2 linked regions of the Solanum lycopersicum genome follow. The main gene of each other region encodes a partner of the protein of the gene in region 2 in a complex. Links are inferred from orthologs where the notes say so. Each region holds a gene or a part of one and is shown on either strand. Other genes may lie near its edges.

The links. The genes of interacting proteins can lie anywhere in the genome.
Region 1: protein TIC 40, chloroplastic (region 2) and protein TIC 20-v, chloroplastic share a complex: the UniProt entries of both Arabidopsis thaliana proteins name them as parts of the tic complex. The link is inferred for Solanum lycopersicum from reciprocal best matches to the Arabidopsis thaliana genes TIC40 and Tic20-V.

The regions. Positions count from the first base shown.
Region 1 is NC_090811.1:6,208,433-6,218,647, reverse strand, and holds protein TIC 20-v, chloroplastic, read right to left. Parts: upstream 4,784-10,215; 5' UTR 4,708-4,783; coding exon 4,114-4,707; 3' UTR 3,897-4,113; downstream 1-3,896. UniProt on the Arabidopsis thaliana protein: May be involved in protein precursor import into chloroplasts. Not redundant with TIC20-I, TIC20-II or TIC20-IV.
Region 2 is NC_090810.1:11,542,502-11,553,880, forward strand, and holds the end of protein TIC 40, chloroplastic, read right to left. Parts: intron 9,646-11,379; coding exon 9,531-9,645; intron 9,377-9,530; coding exon 9,319-9,376; intron 9,220-9,318; coding exon 9,202-9,219; intron 8,338-9,201; coding exon 8,031-8,337; intron 6,838-8,030; coding exon 6,743-6,837; intron 6,157-6,742; coding exon 6,087-6,156; intron 5,032-6,086; coding exon 4,953-5,031; intron 4,130-4,952; coding exon 4,089-4,129; intron 3,596-4,088; coding exon 3,550-3,595; intron 2,725-3,549; coding exon 2,630-2,724; intron 2,089-2,629; coding exon 1,985-2,088; intron 1,809-1,984; coding exon 1,761-1,808; intron 1,426-1,760; coding exon 1,366-1,425; 3' UTR 1,001-1,365; downstream 1-1,000. UniProt on the Arabidopsis thaliana protein: Involved in protein precursor import into chloroplasts. Part of the motor complex consisting of a co-chaperone (TIC40) and a chaperone (HSP93) associated with the import channel (TIC110).

The DNA.
Region 1 (10,215 bases), on a different chromosome or scaffold from region 2:
TTTCGACTATCAAAACATGTACAATGATAGCACCATTATCAACAAATTAACAATTTCATTTCTCCCATCTTCAAATGACTATCTATTTTCTTGACATTTATTCGTGGAAGAATTCTACTACTATATAAAAGATGTTTTCTTCCTTGTGTTTGGAATAGAAAAACAAGAAAAAAATTACAAGTAGTATGTTTCGTTTATATTGAGGTCAGTGTAGTGAAGAGAGAGTTGGGAGAAAGAAAAAAATCTTTAACTGATTCACTACTATAAAGAGAGTAATTTTATATCGAAGAAAGGGTTTCTTTGGTGAAGTCTTGTACTCTTCAATTAATGCGGAATTGTTTGTCGCACGCGACATTGTTGGATTATTGTATATTGGAGAGGACAAGTCGAGAGTTACATTGTTAAATCTGTGTAGATTATGTCACAATGAATTTAAGTTTCTTTAAAGAGAACTAGATTCACACCTCAGTTACAATACTTTTTATATTTTATCATTTTATTTTTCAAACTATAATTTTGATTTAATTTGTGATATATGTTTATATCAACAAACCTAGCTATAACACTTGTATTTTATTCACTCAATTAGGAAGAGTACGTAGATGAGACCAAATATACTTTAAAATAAGTTATGCCCGTCAGATTAAATTATAAGAAGATTTTGTCTGAATTGGAAGGTGTACCAATAATGAGTATTGAACATGAAAATGTCCAACTAAATTTATATATATAATTTAATCTAATTGTTTTTCTTTATTTGTGTCACTTGTTTGGAATGAATGAAATATTTGACTATTATGAAATACTACCTCCGTCTCATTTTATATATCAACTTTTAAATTTCAAGAGTCAAACAACTCTATTTTTTATCGTAAATTTTTCATAGATCTATTAAACATTTTGAATTATCAATTATTGTGACTCATATTACTTTTTACGTAGTTTACAAATATATAAATCTCATTTCAAAAAAATTGAAGATTCCATGCGCAAATTTTTTCGATCAAACTTAAAATGTTTTGACTCTCAAAACATAAAATGAGACCCTTTGGGGTAGCCCAGTGGTTTGAGCTTGGGATTTCCATGTTGAAGGTCTCAAATTCGAAACTCCTTGCCAGAGAAAGCAAGGGATTTGCATTATGGATCGAGCTCGTCACACCAAACTTGTCTAGTGCGGGTTACCTCTCCTATGTGATTTGCGAGCTATTGAATAGAAGCGAAGTTTTACCCTGTGCGCACCCAAAAAGATATCAACTACGAATTTCCTTTACATAAAATGAGTCATATAAATTTGGACTGAGGAAATAGTTACTTTCTCATCAAGAGTTTGTTTAAACAAGTGGGGAATAATAAAAAAAGGTATCCAATGAACAAAACATATGTTCCATTAGCAGAACTGTTTCACCCTTTATCAAATGTATCAGATGAAAAAAAATCTATTTAGGGAGTGCCATTTCCAAATAAGACTCGTGATTCGAATTTAGTCACCGCATCAATGTAGGCTCCAAAGAAGAAAAATAAATAGGAATAGAATGAAATGAGCATCTTATATATGCCCAAATAAGAGGAGAAAGAAAATAAAAGTTGTAGCTGTCAAGTATGTCCCAAGTAATATAATGCCACGTGATTCCACTGAGGCCTCTACCGACAGGGGAAGCCAAAGCGCCGTGGCTTGTGCTAGGTTTTGCGTGTCATGGCTATCGATTTCTTTTTGCAAAGCTGCACCAAAAACTTTGTTATTAATTCCATCTTTGTTTATTACTACTATTATTTTCAATAATGGAATCTGTAAGCAATCATCCTGCCCTGCACCATTTGTCATCCCTAGAAACTTCAATTAGAAAACTTGATTCAACTTTTCATAGTCAGTCAAACCATATGGTGAACTGATGTGGTATGAGCATACTAGCACAACAATCTAATGTATTCACTAGGGAAGTTGATATATCTAATGATGTAAGAGGAAATAAACGAACACAGTTCAGGTTTATATCACTTGACTGCACCAGACTTAGCATAAGATTAGAAATGTGTATCATAATCTGTATTCATATTATAAAGTATAATGTCAGGGAAATTTTTATCTTTGGCTTCCAGAGCAGTTTGACAATAAAGCAACATAGTGCAAGTCCTATGCATCCTTGCATTAAAGAATGAGATTGCAATGAGCTTTTCCGAAACAACCTTTCAACCACACACAAGGTAGGGATTTTAGGTCTGTGTACACTCTATCCTCCTCAAAAACCTCACTTACACTGGTATGTTGTTGTTGCTGTAGATTGCAGTGACCTTTACATGAAAAAATGGAGGTGTTCCATGTGCAGAGCTTTACACTCTGCTTTGTTGCTTGATTCTATGTTGCTCGGACTCAGGAGCGAGTGCCCGACCAGAGGTCGGATCCTCTATGATCAAAATTTTTAGATCCGGGAATACGAATCCATGTATGGATATGGGTGCGGTGATTCGTCTACAAATAATTCAAAGAACTAAAAATGAAGTTATAAAACCTAAATTATGAGATATTATGTGGAAAACTTGAGGAGAAAATCTTGATCGAGAGGAGAATCCTGGAAGGAGATAAAAGGAAAGGGAGTGACAATAGAAATTTATATATACAAGGTATTCCATTTTCCTCAATTTTACCTTAGTTTTGTTTCGTGCACAGAAATCATTGACCAGCTCGGGTACATATCTCACACCCACGCCATGTCGACACCGGTGCGGTGCCAAAAGTAAAAGAGTCCAAGCAACTTAGGCTTGACTTTTTCTTGGACCTCAAAGTCCGTACGCAACAATCTCAATTTAAATGTCATAAAAACCACATACTTAATGTCAATGTAATACCTAAGAATAGATTTCAGAAAACATAATCGACATTTTTGTCATAATTTCATAATTCATGGTGGCAAAGAATGTCCACTAGCCAACCACTCAACTATTCAATCAGAAAATTGAAGTGGTGAAATCAAGTCCATTGAAGGGACAAAAGGATATCCTACAAGTAAGGAGCAAATATTTGCCTTTTGGGTTTGAGTATCAACATCTAAAATATCTTAACATCCCAACACATTTACCATCTAAAGGTTGATATGATGACCAGGTTTCCTAAATAAGAAAAAGATGCAGATTCATAAAACCTGCAGCTATTAAGAGCATTATTTCTTCCGTCCTAGTTTTAGCTTATTGTTTTTCTGTCCAAGGGTAAACTACTTTTAAAATTACTATACAACAAATGGAAGAGGTACTGGCAGAGAGGCATACTAGCATTTTACATAAAGAAGGTGTATACTAGATGCCAATACCTTTACGTAAATCATCAAAGTCTCTGTAATTAGCGAAAGCTCTAGGTTGGGGTGGAGGACATTATCCGAATTGTCTCAAAGAATAACATCAAAACCTGATACCTAACTTCCGTGTATCTCTGCATACTTGCCCTTTTCAAGATAATACAAAACGAGACCCTTACTTAAAATCATGATACAACTGGCTACTAGGATCATGAATTTCTTCCTTAAACACCAACATACCGATGATGTAACATGTTACCTCATCCAAAAACCAAAAAAAAGAATGGTGATGTAACTAACATGTTACCTAGAAATAGGGATTGAACTATCTTCATATCAAAAAATGACAGAACTTGTAGATAATATCACCACCTTTGTGGCACTCAATGGCAAGCCATCAAAGTCCATGAAGCTGGAACGAAACTACACAACACGAAAGTGCAAATCTATGCAGAGGCAATAAGATCTTCTATTTGCCTAAGTTGTAGTGGGCAGAGTCACTTGGAACAATTCCAGTTAAGATATTCCATGAAATAGTTGAGGTGTACGCCAGGACATTACGGTTATAAAAAAGAAATACCTCTATATATTTTTGTTAATGCAGATACATAGAAAAAAAGTAGTTACTTGATTAAAGAAACCGAAATGCCATTACAAGAATATACATATCCACATTAAGAAACAGCAAAATGATATGCATGAACAAGGCTCTAAAGAGCATAAACATTTACTTTCGGAACGAAATAGATATTAATTGTCAGCTAAAGCAAAACATAATTAAGTGTACAAAGAGGATGAAACCTCATAAACAAGTAAAATTACGAGTTCATAGCACTTGCCTATCAGCAGCTTCAGCAACAATAGGCAATCTAGGTAGCTGACCCAACAAGCAAGACGAAGTACCATAAACCAAAGATACCAAAAGAAACAAAAACACAGTACTATCAAAGCTCATCATCAAATCCAACCCAAACCCATCACTTGGATTGAAACTCCTCTCCAACAAATCAGGAAAAATGAGAAGCACATCAAGAACAATAGCTTGCATAGTGTTGAACCTGACATATCTACTAAAATTAGGATTTCTTACAACAATAAAGTAGAGTGTAAAGAAAACCAACAACCCGTTAAGCGGAAAGCTCTTAAAAACCCTTATAGCTGGTACTAAAGGTTGAATAAGTGTTTGTATTGGAGCAAACTGTGTGATTACATATTTACCGTACTGAACACCATCAAAGAAAGGGTAGAAGTAAGTTATGGCGGAGATTAAACGATCTGGACCATCTACTGAGTCGTCGTTCTTAGATTGAGCTCGAATTGTTGGCCTTTTAGGGTTTCTGAGTTTTGTTGAGGGTTTCAGTAGAAGAAATGGCGAGTGTTTGAGTGTAATGGTGGTGGATAAAAGATTGGTGATGGCCATTGTTGAGGATGGCCAAAGATATTTGTTTTGGGGGGGAGAAAGAATGAAAAAGGGGAAATTGGATTAGGTCAGCAGTCAATTGAAAATCCTGATGGAATTGCGGGTCGGGCTACATTGATACCATTTGAATATCCATAATTCCATATCCATTTTGGAGGAAAAATGTCTACGGGTCAAATACATACGCAAGTCTTTAAAGTTGTTCGTGTTTTTCCCAGTTACCTCAACTAATCTAGATTCCTATTGAATCTTTTAACCCCCTATAATTTGATCTTTTTAAATATTCTTGGCTAATGTGGAGCCAAACGTGATCTCACGTCCTTTAAGCGTGTGCAGACGCTTTAAAAGCGCTGATGTGGATCTTGAACCATCCACCAACGATTTTCTTCCCCCTTTTAATCCTAATTTCTCCCATTCTTCCCTTATTTCTCCTCTTTTGTTTCTCTTCATCATTATTTCTCCTCTTTAGCTCATTATATTATATCTCTTTTTCATTGATTTCTTTTTAATCATCAAGTTTCAATGTCAAATTTATCTACTTCATCGATTTCTTCTTCTTTAACTGCGAAAGTACTATGTCAATATGGGAACGTTGTGAAAATGAAGATCTCATGGACGCAATCCAATCCTGGACGTATATTCCTTTGTTGCAAAACTTCAAAGGTAAATCAAATTCACTTTTTTTTGTCCAATATAGTAAAGAATCACCTTATTTATAATTCAATTTTTTTCTTTAATTTTGTAGGCACGAGGTGGATGTGGATATTTTCGATGGTATGATGATGAAATGCCTGCTCAAGCTAGGAGGGTGATATGGGGTTTGTCGAAAATAGTCAAAACATATGAATTGGAGAGGAATCGATCAAGAAAAATATGGATGATATGCATTATCGTAGGGATGATATTGGCTACTTGGATTTGTGTAACAAAATGATCTTAGTTGGTTCATTTGTCTTCAATTAGATTCCTTCATAAAAGTATGTATGGTAGATTGTAGAGTTCTTTGTGGACAATTTTGATCGATTTTTCTATTGTAAATGCCTTGTGTTTTTATTGTAATGATTTAATTGAAGGAGTGTAGATAATTTATGCCTCAAAAGCAGTAAAAATTGATCATTCATGCCATTAATTTGCTCTAGTGAGCTTCAAGTTTCAAGCAGTCAATACAAATTTCTGCTGCTAATTACACAACCAAAAAGTGATTTTTCTACATAAATTAGGCATTCTTTGGTGCACTAGATGTTCCACGCTTGTTTTTTCTTGAATAAGTGATTTGTTTCAACTGTGAACCAGTGACAGCATCTCCACCATTCCACTTGAGTCCTCGAGGCTTATAACCAATATCAATATTTGTTGGAGCTGCATCCTTATAAACTCTCAAATTGATAATTTTTTCTCCTGAAGTACCAGCTGCATAGAAATATCTTAAAATGAGACTTTATATAGTAGAGTAAGAAATGAACAAAATTATGTATACACTTTCAAATACCATACCAAGCTCAAAAATTGCTACAACACAATCAGGATCAAATCTTACCTTTTTACTTTTTCTTCTACTTGGTAAATCAACACTCTTAACAAATTCTGGATCCAATTCATTCCTATTGTCTTTACTGTTCAATTCTGAGCTATCTATATATTGCTTCACCCCTAATCTTCCAGTGTATCTAGCAGCCTTATTCCTTCCCATGTCTTCAAAGCCTCTATTAATACCAGTTGTTCCAAGCTTTATTTCCTCAGTTTGAATAGGTTTTTATTTTTTCACTTTGTTTCTCCTTTCATTTCTAAGAGATCTTACTTCTTCATCAACCTCAGAGTCATCCACATCAGGAAAAGCATCCTCTTGAGAGTCATCACTACTTTCTTCATTTCATTCAGTCCATTCCACATCTAGATCTAATATATCCCCTGGCTCAACTTCCACATTAACATTTTCATATTTAGCCTCATTATTCAACCCTTCACTTGCAGTCACATTTATATCTTCTAAATCTTCTTCAACGACAGACCCACAAAGCAAACCCGTTGTGACCACTTCTACATCATCTACCATATGTTTCACATAAAGGTCTAAAAAGTCACCATCTTTTAGGTCTTTGATGAGATTTACTAAAGTGAAATCAGTGTCCACCTCAATAAAACCATTTTTTGTGAGGTCTTTAACACAGAATCCACCAACAATAATATACCCCAATTGTTTAGTGTAAAAAATAACTCGATTATTGAGAAGTGGTCCTTGTCGATATAAATATATTCCACCTCAGTTTTCCCTTTATAAGTAATTTCAATTTTGTCTTGAATAAACTTACCACCATGATGAAAACGAGTTATAATAATGGTGTTCATAAGATTCTCTCAAACAAAGCCCCAAAATTTTTCTAACACATTATTAATAATAAAAATTAAAAAAAAAACTAACTTTATCCAGATATTAACAACAACCACATTGATACTAAAACTCAGCATATATCAATAAAAAAACACAAGCTAAACACATATATTAAAAACACACAACCACTACAACAATAAAAATTACATAGAAATTAAGGAATGAACTTACCTCACACTCATCAACTCGGAAATCGCGAATGAACTCCAAAATCGTCTACAATCTTCGATGATTCCTTCAACAAAACACTCGAAATCACTTTAAAATCTAAGAATTTCAGCTGTAAAAGTCATTGAAAGGGAGAGATTCTTAGGGTTTTCTTGTTTAGAAACGGGTTAGAAGTGTTTTGAGGAGAAATTGATTTTTAGGTTTGATGATTTAATATATGCCACTGACGTGTAATTGGGTTGGAGTGTATTGGTCAAAATTTTCACGTGGGAAAGGTTTATCTCACGCGCCCAATTATCAAAAATAATTTATTAAAATTTGGCTCCACATCAGCCAAGAATATTTAATAGGATCAAATTATAGGGAGTTAAAGGATTCAATAGGAATCTGGGTTAGTTGAGGTATCTGGAGAAAAAGTGCAAACAACTTTAGGGACCTGCCTATGTATTTTGCCTATCTACAAATTTGTCAAGAAAATATATAAAATCATCATTTAACTTGTATCCGTTTTTTTGTAAGTACATACCTAGAGTGTGTTTGGTATGAAGGAAAACATTTTCTAGGAAATGTTTTTCAATTTCCCTATGTTTGGTTGAAACAAAAGTTTTGGAAAATGTTTTACAAATCAACTCATTTTTCTCAAAATTAAGGAAAATGACCTCCCTTCAAAAGTTAAGAAAAATATTTTCCAAATCTCTCCTCCAATTTCAAATTACTTTTTTTCTTGGGAAAAATATCAATTTTAAAAAAATATTTCAAGTTCAAAATTTTATTTTTTCAACGGTTCCTGACCCCCCCTCCCCTCCCCAAAAAATTAATTTTGCTTTTTAAAAAAATATTTTCAAATTCAAATTTTTATTTTTAAACTCTTAACACCCCCCCCCCCTGCTAGACCCCTACCAGTCCTCCACCCACTCACAACCCCCATAAAAATTAATTTTATTTTTTTAGAAATACAAGTGAGATTAGAAAAGGGAGGAGACAGGCAAGAGAGAGAGAGGGCAAAGAGTGGAGAGAGGTGAATTGTGAATGTATATCGGTTAGATAATTGTGTGTGTGTGTGTGTGTGTGTGTGTATATATATATATATATATATATATATATATATATCAATTATTGCATTTATATATCTGCATATAATTGAATTGAGTTAAAATATTTGTATTTGTATATTCAACAAAGTGAGAGAGAAAGACAAAAGAGAACAGAGCAATGGAGGATTTGTATTTATATGATTATAAGTGTATAGGGCGGAGAAATTATGTATTTATATTTTAATATCTTGTCTTTTTCGCTTTATGCAAACACAATTATACATTTGTGTTTATATGAAGTGAGAGAGATTGACATAAGAGAAGAGAGAGAGACTAGGCAGGGAGAGGAGAGAGGCAAGGAAGCGATGACTGAAAAAAAGAGTAACGAGTGAGATCATAGAGAGAGGAGGGGTGAGAGAGAGAGAGAGACAGGAGAGAAAACGTAATTATATATAGAATTAAGTTTCGAATTGTAATTATTGCAAATATAACTATGTTAGCTAATTAACTAGTATACGTTTGCTTAACCACGTAATTTCCCTAAAAAAATTTTATGTTATTATGGAAAAACTACATAAATGGACCATAAAATTCAAAATAGTTACATGTTCATACCTCAATCCGAAGTAATTCAAGAAATATTCATTCTCTCAAAAAAGTCACAACTCATACTCCTCATTCATTAAGGTTGATAATTTCCGCTTAACTCATACTAAATTCGTATAGTATATTGTATCGATTTCATTGACTAATGATCAATATCTGAACAAGAAAGCTTAATGATACCATAAAAATTATCATTATCTAATCAATATACATTATGGTAGAGGGTGGGGGTGGGGAGTGAAGTAAGATTTTTTTAAAAACATTATAAAATTTTTTTATAATAAAAACTTATGGGGGAGAAGGTGGTGGACTGTCGTAAGAAAAATGTTTTAATTTTTTTTTTAAAATCAAAATTGTGGGATAATGATAGTTTAATTTTTAACTAATACTAATAATTTATTTATTTTTTGTCAAGTTGAAATAATTTAACCATTTGATTGTCAGGTGATAAGAATTGTATTACATATAATTGAATTGTGTTTCTCAAACTAATCAGAAAGGGACAGAACTTTCATCGAGCAATGAGTGTCAAGCGGCACCCCTTCACCCATTTATCTATACATATGTCAAAATTAGAATTGTGTCAAAACGAGCTTAACCTATGGCCGGCCCAACCCAACCCATTATTAGGATAGGTTTGGAATATATTTTTTCGAGCTCATTTAAAACTAGGGCTTATAAGCTCGACTTATATAAGCCCTTGGCCCTTGAGACTTGATTGACACAGGATCGGGTTCGGCCCACAGGCTAAGACTTTTTATTTAAGGGTAACTCACAATAATTTCACTAACATATAATCTAATTACTTAAGTACACACTATGTTGTAACATTATGAATCTTACGAGATTTTGGTATGTCCAGATACATGTATCTCGAAATATATGGACTGAAAATTAGTTAATTTGTTATAGATACACTCTATCCAAGTAGATACACATGTATCTAAGATACATATACAAATCTCACGCCCTCACTTCCTCCTATCTTGCTTGTCAGCCTCTTATCTCGCTCGCGTATCTGGTATGCCAGATACATGCTAATTACACTAAATTTTTTGCTAGTGTTATTGAACAACACGATTGTTTATCAAATTTTTACTTTCTCGATGTTATAGAATTATATCTTTGAAAAGAAAAAAAATAAAAAAAGAAGGGCTAACCCTCTCCATCCCTCGATTCTTCTAGGGTTGGATTGGGTTGAACATTTTTAGGCTCTTCCAAATGAAGAGCTGAACCGCCCTAGCCTTTTAAATTCATTGACTTACGAGACTTGGACCCGGTGAAACTGAATCGACCCTTTTTGACCGCTCT
Region 2 (11,379 bases):
TTAAATCAACTCATTTTCCTCGATTTTAAGGAAAATGATTTTCCTTCAAAAATTCAGAAAAACATTGTACAAAACTCTTCTCCAACTTCAAATTACATTTTTTTTTTTTAAAAAAAAAATTGATTGTTGAACAAATTTAAAAATTATTTAAAAAAAGTATATTGGAGTTCAATTTTTTTTTCATCCCACCCTCAACCTCACCCCTGCTCCCCCCCCCCCCCCCAAAAAAAATTGTAATTTGGTTTAGAAAATATTTCTAATTTCTAATTTTACTTTTTCACCCCAACCCAACCCCTCGTTCCTACTCATCAGCCCCCACCCCCTCCCAAAAAAAAAGAATTTTGAGTTTGTTTTTTTTTTTAAAAAAAAATCAGCTTCAATTTTTTTCACCCCACCCTCACCACTAACCCCCCCACCCCCCACACACACAAACCAGCACCAGCATCCCCCTCCCCCCACCAAAAAAAAATAATTTTTAATTTATTTTTAAACATATTTTCAATTTTTTTCACCCCACCCACTCCTACCGGCAACCCCCCCCCCCCCCCCCCACTCCCTCCCAAAAAAAACTTTGTTTTTAAAAAATATTTTCAATTTCAATTTTTTATTATTTTACCCTATCTCACACCCCCTCCCCCCCAAAAGAAATAAAATTTATTTTAAAAAATTATTTTCCGCACTAGTAAAATAAAAAATATTTTTCATTCATAATACACTGAAAATCTTTTTCAAAATATAATTTTTAATGACCAACCAAACATGAGAAAATAAGTAAAAAATCTACTTATTTTGCGGGAAAACATTTTCCTTTCCTACCAAACACACTCTAACTCCCTTCTTATTTTCCTAGTTCTTATCCACCCCCGCACCACCTCACTCTCATCCACCTTTATTATCTTCTGCACATCCTTACACTTCCTCAAGCAAGAAAATATCCATTTCTTTTAAATATAAAATCAACTTGAATTTAAAATTAAAAAATCCAGAAAATTCAACTGAGTAACTAGAAGCGATAACTTCATAATTGAAGTAATTATTAAATAAAATTTTTATTCCTCCGTTTCATCAAATCATACAGTTGAATAAGCTTAAGTAACTCTAAAACCATAAAGAAACTGGCAAATATACAACTGAAATTGGCTTCTAAAGACTACTGGTAAGCCAAGGCAAGTATGTTCACATCCACAAAATTTGAGAAGGGCAATGAATTTATATAAAGGAAGCGACGTTTTCATGTGCATCCGAGTTGCAACAGAGGGCGAAAACTACATCTCAGAGCCCAACAATTCTGACTGATACTTCACTCAAACAGAACAAAAATGACAGCGTTGTCACATAATAGCTGCTTAGGCAGGACGGAGATAATCAAGGCGCACCTGACACCCCAGGGAATAGTTCTGATATTTTATTGAAGACGTCCATCACCTATAATCATATGTTCAACTATATGTATTAGGTATTTATCAAATATATACACGTACATGCAACATAATATGCAGTTGAACCTCCGTCTATTTAGTCAACATAATAATCATAGTAACGAGTATGTAAACATTGAATTTGTGCTATACTGGGCAAACATAAGATGAAGTAAGAACCAAAAGTTATCACTCAAAACTGTCTAACTGATGCATCTTACTGATCTCTAGTATTAATTACTGAAGCAAAATGCAACTTAGTCAATAACAAGTACAGACTTCTTACTCAAATTTAGATCGATATATCAAGAAGACATGTTAAAGATGAAATTACGTTCTTACCTCCTTGTCATTTTGGTATTTTGCAATACTCAGTGGATTCTGAGAACACTGCAATAAAAATAAAAGTCAGCGTGCATCAACATTTCAAGCAATAATAAATGTGTGTCATATCTCTTCTATGATTATTCAAATATATGCTTTTTGGAACTTCAACAAATTCAAGAGGATATAATGGGGGTGGGAAGTGGGATGGGGTGGCGTGAAAGGGGGCAACAAGTGCATACATCCATGATGGCTGCTTGAACTCTTGGATTTTGGAAAGCCATGGCAACATCAGGATTAGCCATAATCTTCGAAATGACTTCCTCGGGAGTAAGTCCTATCTGATCTGCAACCATAAAAATAACAAACAAAGAAAAATACAGATCATATCATTTGATAGTTTTGGCTATAGCAACTGTTTGTACCATTAAAGGAGGTCTTCCTGACATGTTATAACTACAAAAAGATTTCTCCCTCCTGATATAACATTTACTAGTATTTCCCTACACATGTGTGCTCATGTTGGGCTGGTTGTTCTATGATACATTGTTTGGCGCATCTTAGCCCAGGTAAACATTGGGCATGGTTGGGCAATGACCCATTCATTGACCCGCCAAAATTAACCCAAATAGTACATTCGCCACCCCTAATTCTGGTATTTGTTGAAGTCATCCATCACCTATTACCATATGTTCAACTATATGTATTAGTAATGACTTTGTTGATCAAATGGAGAAAATTAAAAATATATGTTGATGCTCAGTGGAATTCAGCTATTGTCTAAGACTCTCTTATCCCCCACCCTCCCCCTCCAGATTAGTGGGCTGCAGACACTACTATTTTTGCAAATAGATCAGGAAAAGAACAATATAACCACTCTAACTTACCAAATTGTTGCTTGATTTCAGGGCTGCTGAGATCAAAATTCTTCAAGGAATCCATCATGCGGTTGTCCCATTCTGGGTTTCCACCCATGTTATTCCTGGAATGGGGCAAATGATGGAAACCCTGATAAGTTTTTCATAGGTGCAAAAGAGAAGTATTTAACACGAAATCCTCGTTAGCCAAAAAAGGCAAATGATTCAACATGTCTGTTTCTTTCCATGTTCTCTTCTTTTCTATTCTTTTTCATTTCTTTCTTTTCAAACTGAGAAACGAACAACACCAAAAATGCAGAATTGTGAGCAGCCTGACCAAAGTAGGTAGTCCAACGAATATTTGATTCCAGACAGATAACTGGTATCATTTGATATGTGTGTACAAGAATCATTTACAGCTTTGCATTGTTCTAATCTAAACTAGAAATGCAATCAGATGGACAAGAATCAACAAGATGAAAACTACCAATTAGGGTCCAGTGTATACCAGTGTCATACATACATCGGAATGGAATATTCTCATTCAAGATGAGAATTTTAACCCCATGCAGGCAGAAGAAAAAGTCAGGTCTCATTTGCACAAATTCAAAAGGAACTGGTTACTCCAGTAAACAAAAAGTAGTATGTGGAAGGGGGAAAATGAAGCAGTTCAGATACAGCAGAGTCACACCAAGAGTAGTTTTCCTAACACTTAAACAAGTTATATGAATGGCATAAGTTCCTATCCAAACAGCCTTTGAGACAGTGCTTATGGTAAAACTCAGTGGATGGATATGCTACTGATATAAATATGATAATCAAACAGAAAATTTAGAAAAGTAAATGATATACAAGTAATGCATTTTGGCATGGAACAAAGAAATATGCACTTGAGAATGGTAATCTTAATAAAGAAATATGCACTTGAAAGATAATTGAACCAGACTTACATCATGTCCTGCAACTGTTGACGGTATTGTGGATTTTGTAGCATCCCTGTGATCAAATTAAATGCAAGACCTTTTAGTTTTATCTGATAGAGGAAGAAGATGAAAAGAGTTTGAAAAACTTATAGCAATGAACCATAAAGGTAGTAAAGTTGAGTCACAAGAAACCAGAATGACAAGTATTTTTGATAAGAAGAGGACAGGAATAAATAATTAATGGCATTTAACTCTTGTTCTTGATTTGTCCTACAACATAGCAATTCAGACAAACAGTCAATGATAAAAGAGGAAATGAATTTTACTCTAAAACCTGAATCATGAGTTGGCTAAGCACATCTAATGCAAAAAAACACTAGTAAGAAAAGTTGCAAAGCATAGACAATATATACTAGATGTACTTGTCAGCATTTACATCCTTCTAGGAATCCATCAGTAGTTTTTTTTTTTTTTTAATTTTTTTTTTATTATTATTATTTTTTTTTATGAAAAGGAGTACTGGAAAATTCAGATTTCCTAGGAAAGTGCTTCAGATGACAGCTCACATTTAAATGTTGTAGGGTTCCTCATCTCCTCGGGTAGATAGCTGCACAAACACAGAATAGAAGGTTGAGTTCTCATCAAAATAAAGCACAACTAGTTTATACACAAAAACTATATGTCACATGAGAATAAGATGAGAGGTCTGGTTGTGTTCACAAGAAAAGCAAAATAGATTTAACATAGAAGAGAAATGTCACTTTAGATTAATACTTTGCAGGAAACAAACAATTAGAACGTTTCCTTCTCCATAAGCTTTAAAAAAAAAAAAAAACTAGAATACGCTGTAGCAAACCCGTATAATATATAGTAGACTTTAATATGCACAAGCAAATTTCTAATAAGGACTATACATTAGCCAATTAACTCGAAGTTACCTTAATTACACTTTTCCAGTCATTCTCAAAAGTACATTCCACATCTTTATTATTTTCAACTAACTACCTACCATCTGTCTGAAATAAGGTATAATGCTCCAAGTCCTGCTCTCTTGAGTCCATCCAAAATCTTCTTTAAAACATCAATTAAGCATCCCAAATCTCATATTAGTTCACTTCCTTCCATCTTTACCACAGTAGTCTACAGCATACTATAAAAACCTATTCAATTAAACACAGTACTGATGGAATGACATTTTCCCTGCAATGCTTTAGAGAGGTTCAAAACTAAATCTCAACAAAAGAATTTTGATTCCATTAGAAGTGCAATACAATTTTATTTATAACACAGTACATAGTAACATGGTGTAACTGAAACTAGAGTTCCATTATCATAAATCGGAATGCTAAGTGATCAAAGATATCAGCAAATATTCAAGATAATCCAACACAACTCATAGAATATAACAGAAAAGGTAGATGCTATCTTACGGGTAAACCATCTTCTGCACTGTTGGATCTTCCATCATTTTCTCCAGAGCATCCACCGACAATAGAGGATTAGATTTTCCTGTTCAAGAAAGCAGATCATGCAAAATTACTTGTAGCTGAGAGAAGAGAGCATGAAGCAATTTGTTTTTTCATAAGAAGAAAGCATGAAGGAGAATTAGGCCCAAGTAAAGTTACACACAACATTTTACTAATAAACAGATATGACCAATAAAGCTGGACTATTTATCACTCAAAACCTCCAACCTCAAAACAAGTTTATGGACAGAGAGTTCCATGAAATCTGTAAGAAATAGGCCATTCTTTCGTAAAACATGTCTGCTAGAGCACTTAGCATTTTTTAGGATGTAGGAAGTTCTATTCAAGTTCCCACAGGAGTCGGGACACAATATTCGGGTCATTACAAAGTCACAGCTTCTGTCTGGATGTTCATCTTTCTTTTCTGAACCTCATTTGTCTGTATCTCATGCAATATCTCCTACAACATGGATTATTGACTTCAAGTTTTTACCCACTTCCAAATTTTATTTGTACATACATATGTGTGCATTACAATGATAATGCGGCCTTTAGCCTTTTGTTGGACTCAAAAGGATAGCATTGAAAACACAAAAAGTACTAACATTATGCCATTTCTTGGAGTCTTACACCCTGGAGATTCACCAAAATACCATTACGTATCTATATTATGCTACAAACATACTGCAATTGGACAAGAAACTGGGCTTTCTCCCCATTTTTTCCTAAATAGAAAAAGACCCCAGAATGTATTTTCCCCACCAGATTATGGAACATACAACCTCATTTCATTTTGTTGGGCATTATGCACTTCATAGTTTAACCACCTTGGGCATGATTCACAGCTTACCACATCCTCCAAACCACCCAATAGGCTAAAAGGGAGGATCTACGTAGCTATGAAGTATGTCCATGAATCCATCTTTATTATCTATTGCAAGATTCATAAACTCATAGAAATAATGATTGAAAAAGAAGGAAAAGAGGAAAATGACCAATAAAAACATGAGTAAGAAGATAGGAACATGCATCCAATCCTGATGCTTGAATGACATTCGTAGTACAACAGCTATGAGGGCCAACCAGCAAGTGATTTACCCGTTGATGAGGTACTGTCAGATGTATTTGAACCAAATCCCGACTGTGAAGCAGCTCCATTTTGAGTTACCTAATAGAGATTCAAAAAATATTATTGAAGTGCAATTGTTAGACGACACCTACAGGTGTCAAAATTGAGCACAATTGTAGGTAACCCGCCCATAATTTTGAGGGTTGGGCACAAGATAATTTCAATTGAATTCAATCCCAACCCATTCAAGTCCTAACCCATTTAAGAGAATCCTCAATTGAGGCCAATTTAATCTCCAATTTCAACCCGTTTTAAGACTCTTTATTTGCATTGTTGTAATGTATGTTCCTATATTAAAGGTATGGATTACTATCTATTTTATATCTTATCGGATTTATCTATCCATTTGTCACTTCTTTTTTAAAATTTTCTTTAGTTGAAATTCAAATTGTAGTTATATAACTTAAATAACAATACATTAAAATTGTTGAATTAAGCGGGAAAAATTGGGTGGGTCAAGACTCAACCTGTTTTTAAGCCCATTGGAACCCAAAGTAAACTTGGGCGGGTCAGGACCCAAACCCAATATCTATTTCAACCCATTTAATATCTCCAATTTCAACCCAACGCGCCCATTTGACACCCCTAACGACACCATATTCCCAGATAATAGCTACCAACCGACCTGATCAACAGTTACCGAAGCTGTCTCAGCTGAGTCCTTAAAATTTTCAAAGGCACCCTTCTGGAATGTTTCATCAGGAGAAATGTCAACAAAAGCTGCAAAAAGTTTAATTCACATAGTTAATATCATGAGTTCATAACCAGAAAATCTGAACATTTCATAAGAGTAATACAAAGTGTATCACTATCGCAAAAAGGTGGTTCTAACTAGGGAAGCATTAGCATTTTTGTAAATATGATTTAGAACAAAACTGCTCAGGTCCCACTACAACTAAACCCAGGTATTAATTTCTACTGGTCCACGATGGTTCTTGGCATTTAAGAAAGATGTCAAAGGAGGATACAAGTTACAAATCAGTTTTGTTTCCGCAAAGCATCCTACTATTCTTTTTTGAGGAGATCGTTATTCTGGGATATTAGTGGAGTCTAAACTTAGCTTTGGTCAAGAACTGTTGTGGAAGTCAGGCCAGTAATCTATTTGATTAGCAAAAGAAAAGAAAAAAACTTTTGATGATCGAGACACAAATAAAAATTTGTTAAATACTTGAAACGAATTAACCTCACAGAAATTGAAGTGGTACCTTCCTCCTGCTCATTCCTTTTATTTAAATTGGGTTTCCCTGCACTTCAATGTAAGCTTTTCTCCCAAACCAGCCTTCCCCTCCCCGTTATCAGCAAGGGGTTCTAATGATACATGAGGAGGTTAGATTTCTAGGGATACTTAGGATTAAAATGGCTATGACTTGGGGGGATTACACTTTTCTTAATTCAAACTTAGGGGATACCCTTGCAGAGTGCCAGCATAGCAATATTGTGTGATAGTGACTTTATGCATGAAAGAGATGGCAAGTGGTTTTGGGTGAGAAATACTTTGAAAATAAGAAAGAACAGAAAAGATGAATTTCCATATAAAAGCTCAGAAGATCACAAAGGATCACATCATGACACTCCAAATTCCTTCAAGAATGTTATGTAGATGGTTGATGTTTTGGTGTTTTTAAGATCAACAGCTAAATTGCTTAATCTTAAAATTTAGTGGTGAGCTCACTCATTTAAAATAGTTTAATTATCTCACTGATATACTCTAGTATCCTTCAGTTTATTGAGATAAACCAACGTTAAGGGTGATCAAAGCATGACATTAACAAGGTCTATTCAAAGGTAAATGTCAAGAGGCTTTAGATGAACATGCCTTCTTGCAAGATTTGCTGTTTTTCTATATGAAAGGAAAAGACAAACAAGTACTAGAACCAGATATAAATGATATTTAGAATGCAAATATTAGGTACCATTTTTCTTTGGCTCCTTTTCAGCCTCTTTATCATTTTTGACATTGACAGTGGGAGGTTCCTCCACTTTAGTTGCGGATACATCAACAGTCACTGGCTGAGATGCAAATGAAGCTGATGGTGTAGATGAGCTAGATGCAGTAGGTGGTGGAGGTGATGAACTAGCTGGACCGGACACTGGAGGTGGTGGGAATGGAAAAGGAAAAGGTGACCCAGGTCCAGGTGAAAAGGCAGTGTTGCTAAACTGACTATTCTGGCCATTCATTTGTCCCATCATTGTTTTGAGCGCTTGCTGCATAGCGTACTTCTGGAAGCATGGAAAACAACATGCAGAAATAGTTAACACACATGAAGGGTCGGGCTTTATCGAATTTTTGTAGCTGCACTCATTGGCCTCCACATAGGAAACAAAGAAATATACCCACGTACAATTAAAAACCAAAACATTTGAAACATGAAGAATATGAAAGAAGTTTAAAACACGATTTTCCGCCATAGAGAGTAAAAAAGAAGGCACCTTAAACAAGCAATCTTATTTTATGTTTTCCTGTGCAACTATTGTATCTATAATGCACAGAGACTCATTAGCAGAAATATTTAGGTGTTTAAAAGGAGGATAGCCATTGAATTTATCTTTAAACTCACAGAAAACAAGAAGAAAGAAATCAACTAAATGTAACAGCAAGAGTTACGGACTCTAAAAGAACAGACAAGTATAGCAAAATAGTTTTTTTTAAAAAAATAAGAAAATGGCTGGCCTCTCAATACCAGATTGTGATGGCGTAGCATGATTTAATTAGTAAACATCGAAAGCATATTCCACAGTGATGCCCTAGTTAATTTCAGAAGTATTCTAGGTTGATGTGCTCATCATTATTAATTTTGTAATTACAGATACCATCAACTGATGAATGGTCATTCTTATCTTCTGTATCTGCTTTGTTGGTCCTTTTTCTTAATATGTGGTCAATCCTCTTAACAGTACTGCTCATAACATACGAGGTATGTTTCATCATGTGCATGTCATATTATCGATAAGTTAAAATTCATATTTTCTCAAAAGTCCAAATTCTCTTAGCTGCCACTCTGATAGTAGCCCTATAAGAAACAGAGTGAGATAAGCATCAGATTCCTGCAAAATATAATTACACCTCACTTAAGAAGTACTTGCCTTTAGGTATGAAGCCACCTGCAATATATTTCAGAAAAAACAGTGAAAAGTAACGAGTCAGTAAAAAAAATGAAACAAGAGTGTAACCAATAAAATTAAAAAAATTCTCCTTCTCACCCATGCGAAAAGTGCTGAAAAACCAACACCAACTCCAATCCAAAAAAGAGGAGACCCCCTGTAGACGACAAATAACAAGAAATAAGTAAGCAAATCAAGAGGTGCTAATGCAGATAGAAACACAATAACAGAAACATGTAAAGCAAGAAACTGATAGGTTAGATTATATACAAGAAGATTCAAATTAAATCGGGGATAATACAAATTATTACACTTGAGATGGTGGTGATGGAGCTGAAAATTGTGGATTTACACCAACTGAAGAAGTCTGTTTGCCACCTGAAGTTGTAGTGCTAGCAAAAGAACCCCTCCCTGATTTTCCCAGCACTGCATAGAACACATTGAAGGAAGGGTAAGCAGCAGCATAATTATTAGCAAGAATATAACAATGGATCACTAAATGATATAATCTATCAGAAATTTGGGACAAGAAAAGTGATTACATCCAGGATAAAGTGGTTTTACCCTTCAATATGTATAATCTTTTCCACTCCGACAACACAGGCTTTCTCTAATTTGGCAGTCTAGCTTGATATAAAACATACCGAATTTGTAGAAGCTACCCATGTAAACATGATGTGAATGAATTTAATGAACAAGAACCATCCAATAATTTATGTTTACTTGATCAGGTATAATAATATTGACAATGAGAACACTTCTGCATAGAAGTATTCCCAGAAGTAGAGAATCAACAGAAGATACGACTCGCTACGAAAGACACCAATGATACTACACAAATTGGAACCCTCATAGGTGCACCAAGAGTAAATCAAAAGCAGGAAGTTACCCCTCAGATATACAAAGTTGTGCCTTTCCTTTCAAATCTCCGTCTTTCCCGTAATGCTATCCACACTAGTACTATTGGAGATACATCCCACGTTTGGCATCTTCTTTTCACTTCTCTAATGGCCCAACTAAATAATGCATCCTTCACAGCACCCAAATCATTGTATCCCGAACAATAGAAAAAGCTCTCAAAAATGTGATGCTAACCTAAGTTGCTCAGAATTGGGTGCAGGTGTCTGATACAGGTGTGGATCTAGAGGTCAGATCCTCTATGATCAAAATATTAAGAATCGGGGATACAAATCCATACATGGATACAGGTGCGGAGATTTAGCTAAAAAAAATTCAAATATCAACTAATAGAGTTATAAAACCTAAATTATGAAATAATTTGTGGAGAACTTGAGACGAAATATTGATCAAGAGGAGATCCTGAAGGGAAATAAAAGGTAAGGGAGTGACAATAGAAATCTATATATACAAAGGTATTTCATTTTCTTCAATTTCACCTTAGCTTTTGTTTTGATTATATAAACCATTGAATCTGTCCTGAATTTCTCCCTTGAATTTGGTCAAAGTACCCAAAACTAGATGACCAGACACACCCACACCCACACCCACATTGTGTCGACACGGGTGCGGCACCGAAAGTGAAGAGTATGAGAAACTTAGATGCTAACTAGCATTGTAGTAAGAGATATCCCATGTCCTACACAAGGGTTCACACATGAAGCATTAACTAACATAAGTAATCCTCCTCTTTTCAAGTTTTTGGTTGTCAAATTCGCATCCTCTAAGCAAACAAACAGCCTTTCCAAGAGCTCTAGACGTCCAAACAGATGAGGGAAATCCAACTTCGCTCTAGCTAGCACCTTACAGTAGCAACTTTTCACTGAAAAATAGACTCCTGCTATCTAACACCCAATTGTCATGGCTCTCTACCAGTAAATTTGCTTGTAGAGTATTTCAATAGACTTTGGAACTCCACTATGTCCCAATCCCAAAATTTCCTTCATAAATTTGAGATCCCAAATAACATGCACATCATGTGATCTTAGAACTTGATCTAGTATCATCTCTTTTAAGTTAAAAAACTCTAGATTTTGGAGAAGTGATCCTTAACATGTTATATTCGCACCTCCTGTCCAGCAAAAAACTACCCTTTCATCCATCCCCCACCCGCAAAGAGATGCATAACTCTTCCTTTCCCTGTATAATTTTCCTGCAAAGAGGGCATACTTAAAAGGATTCGTGATGTTTCTTGTTCTCCAA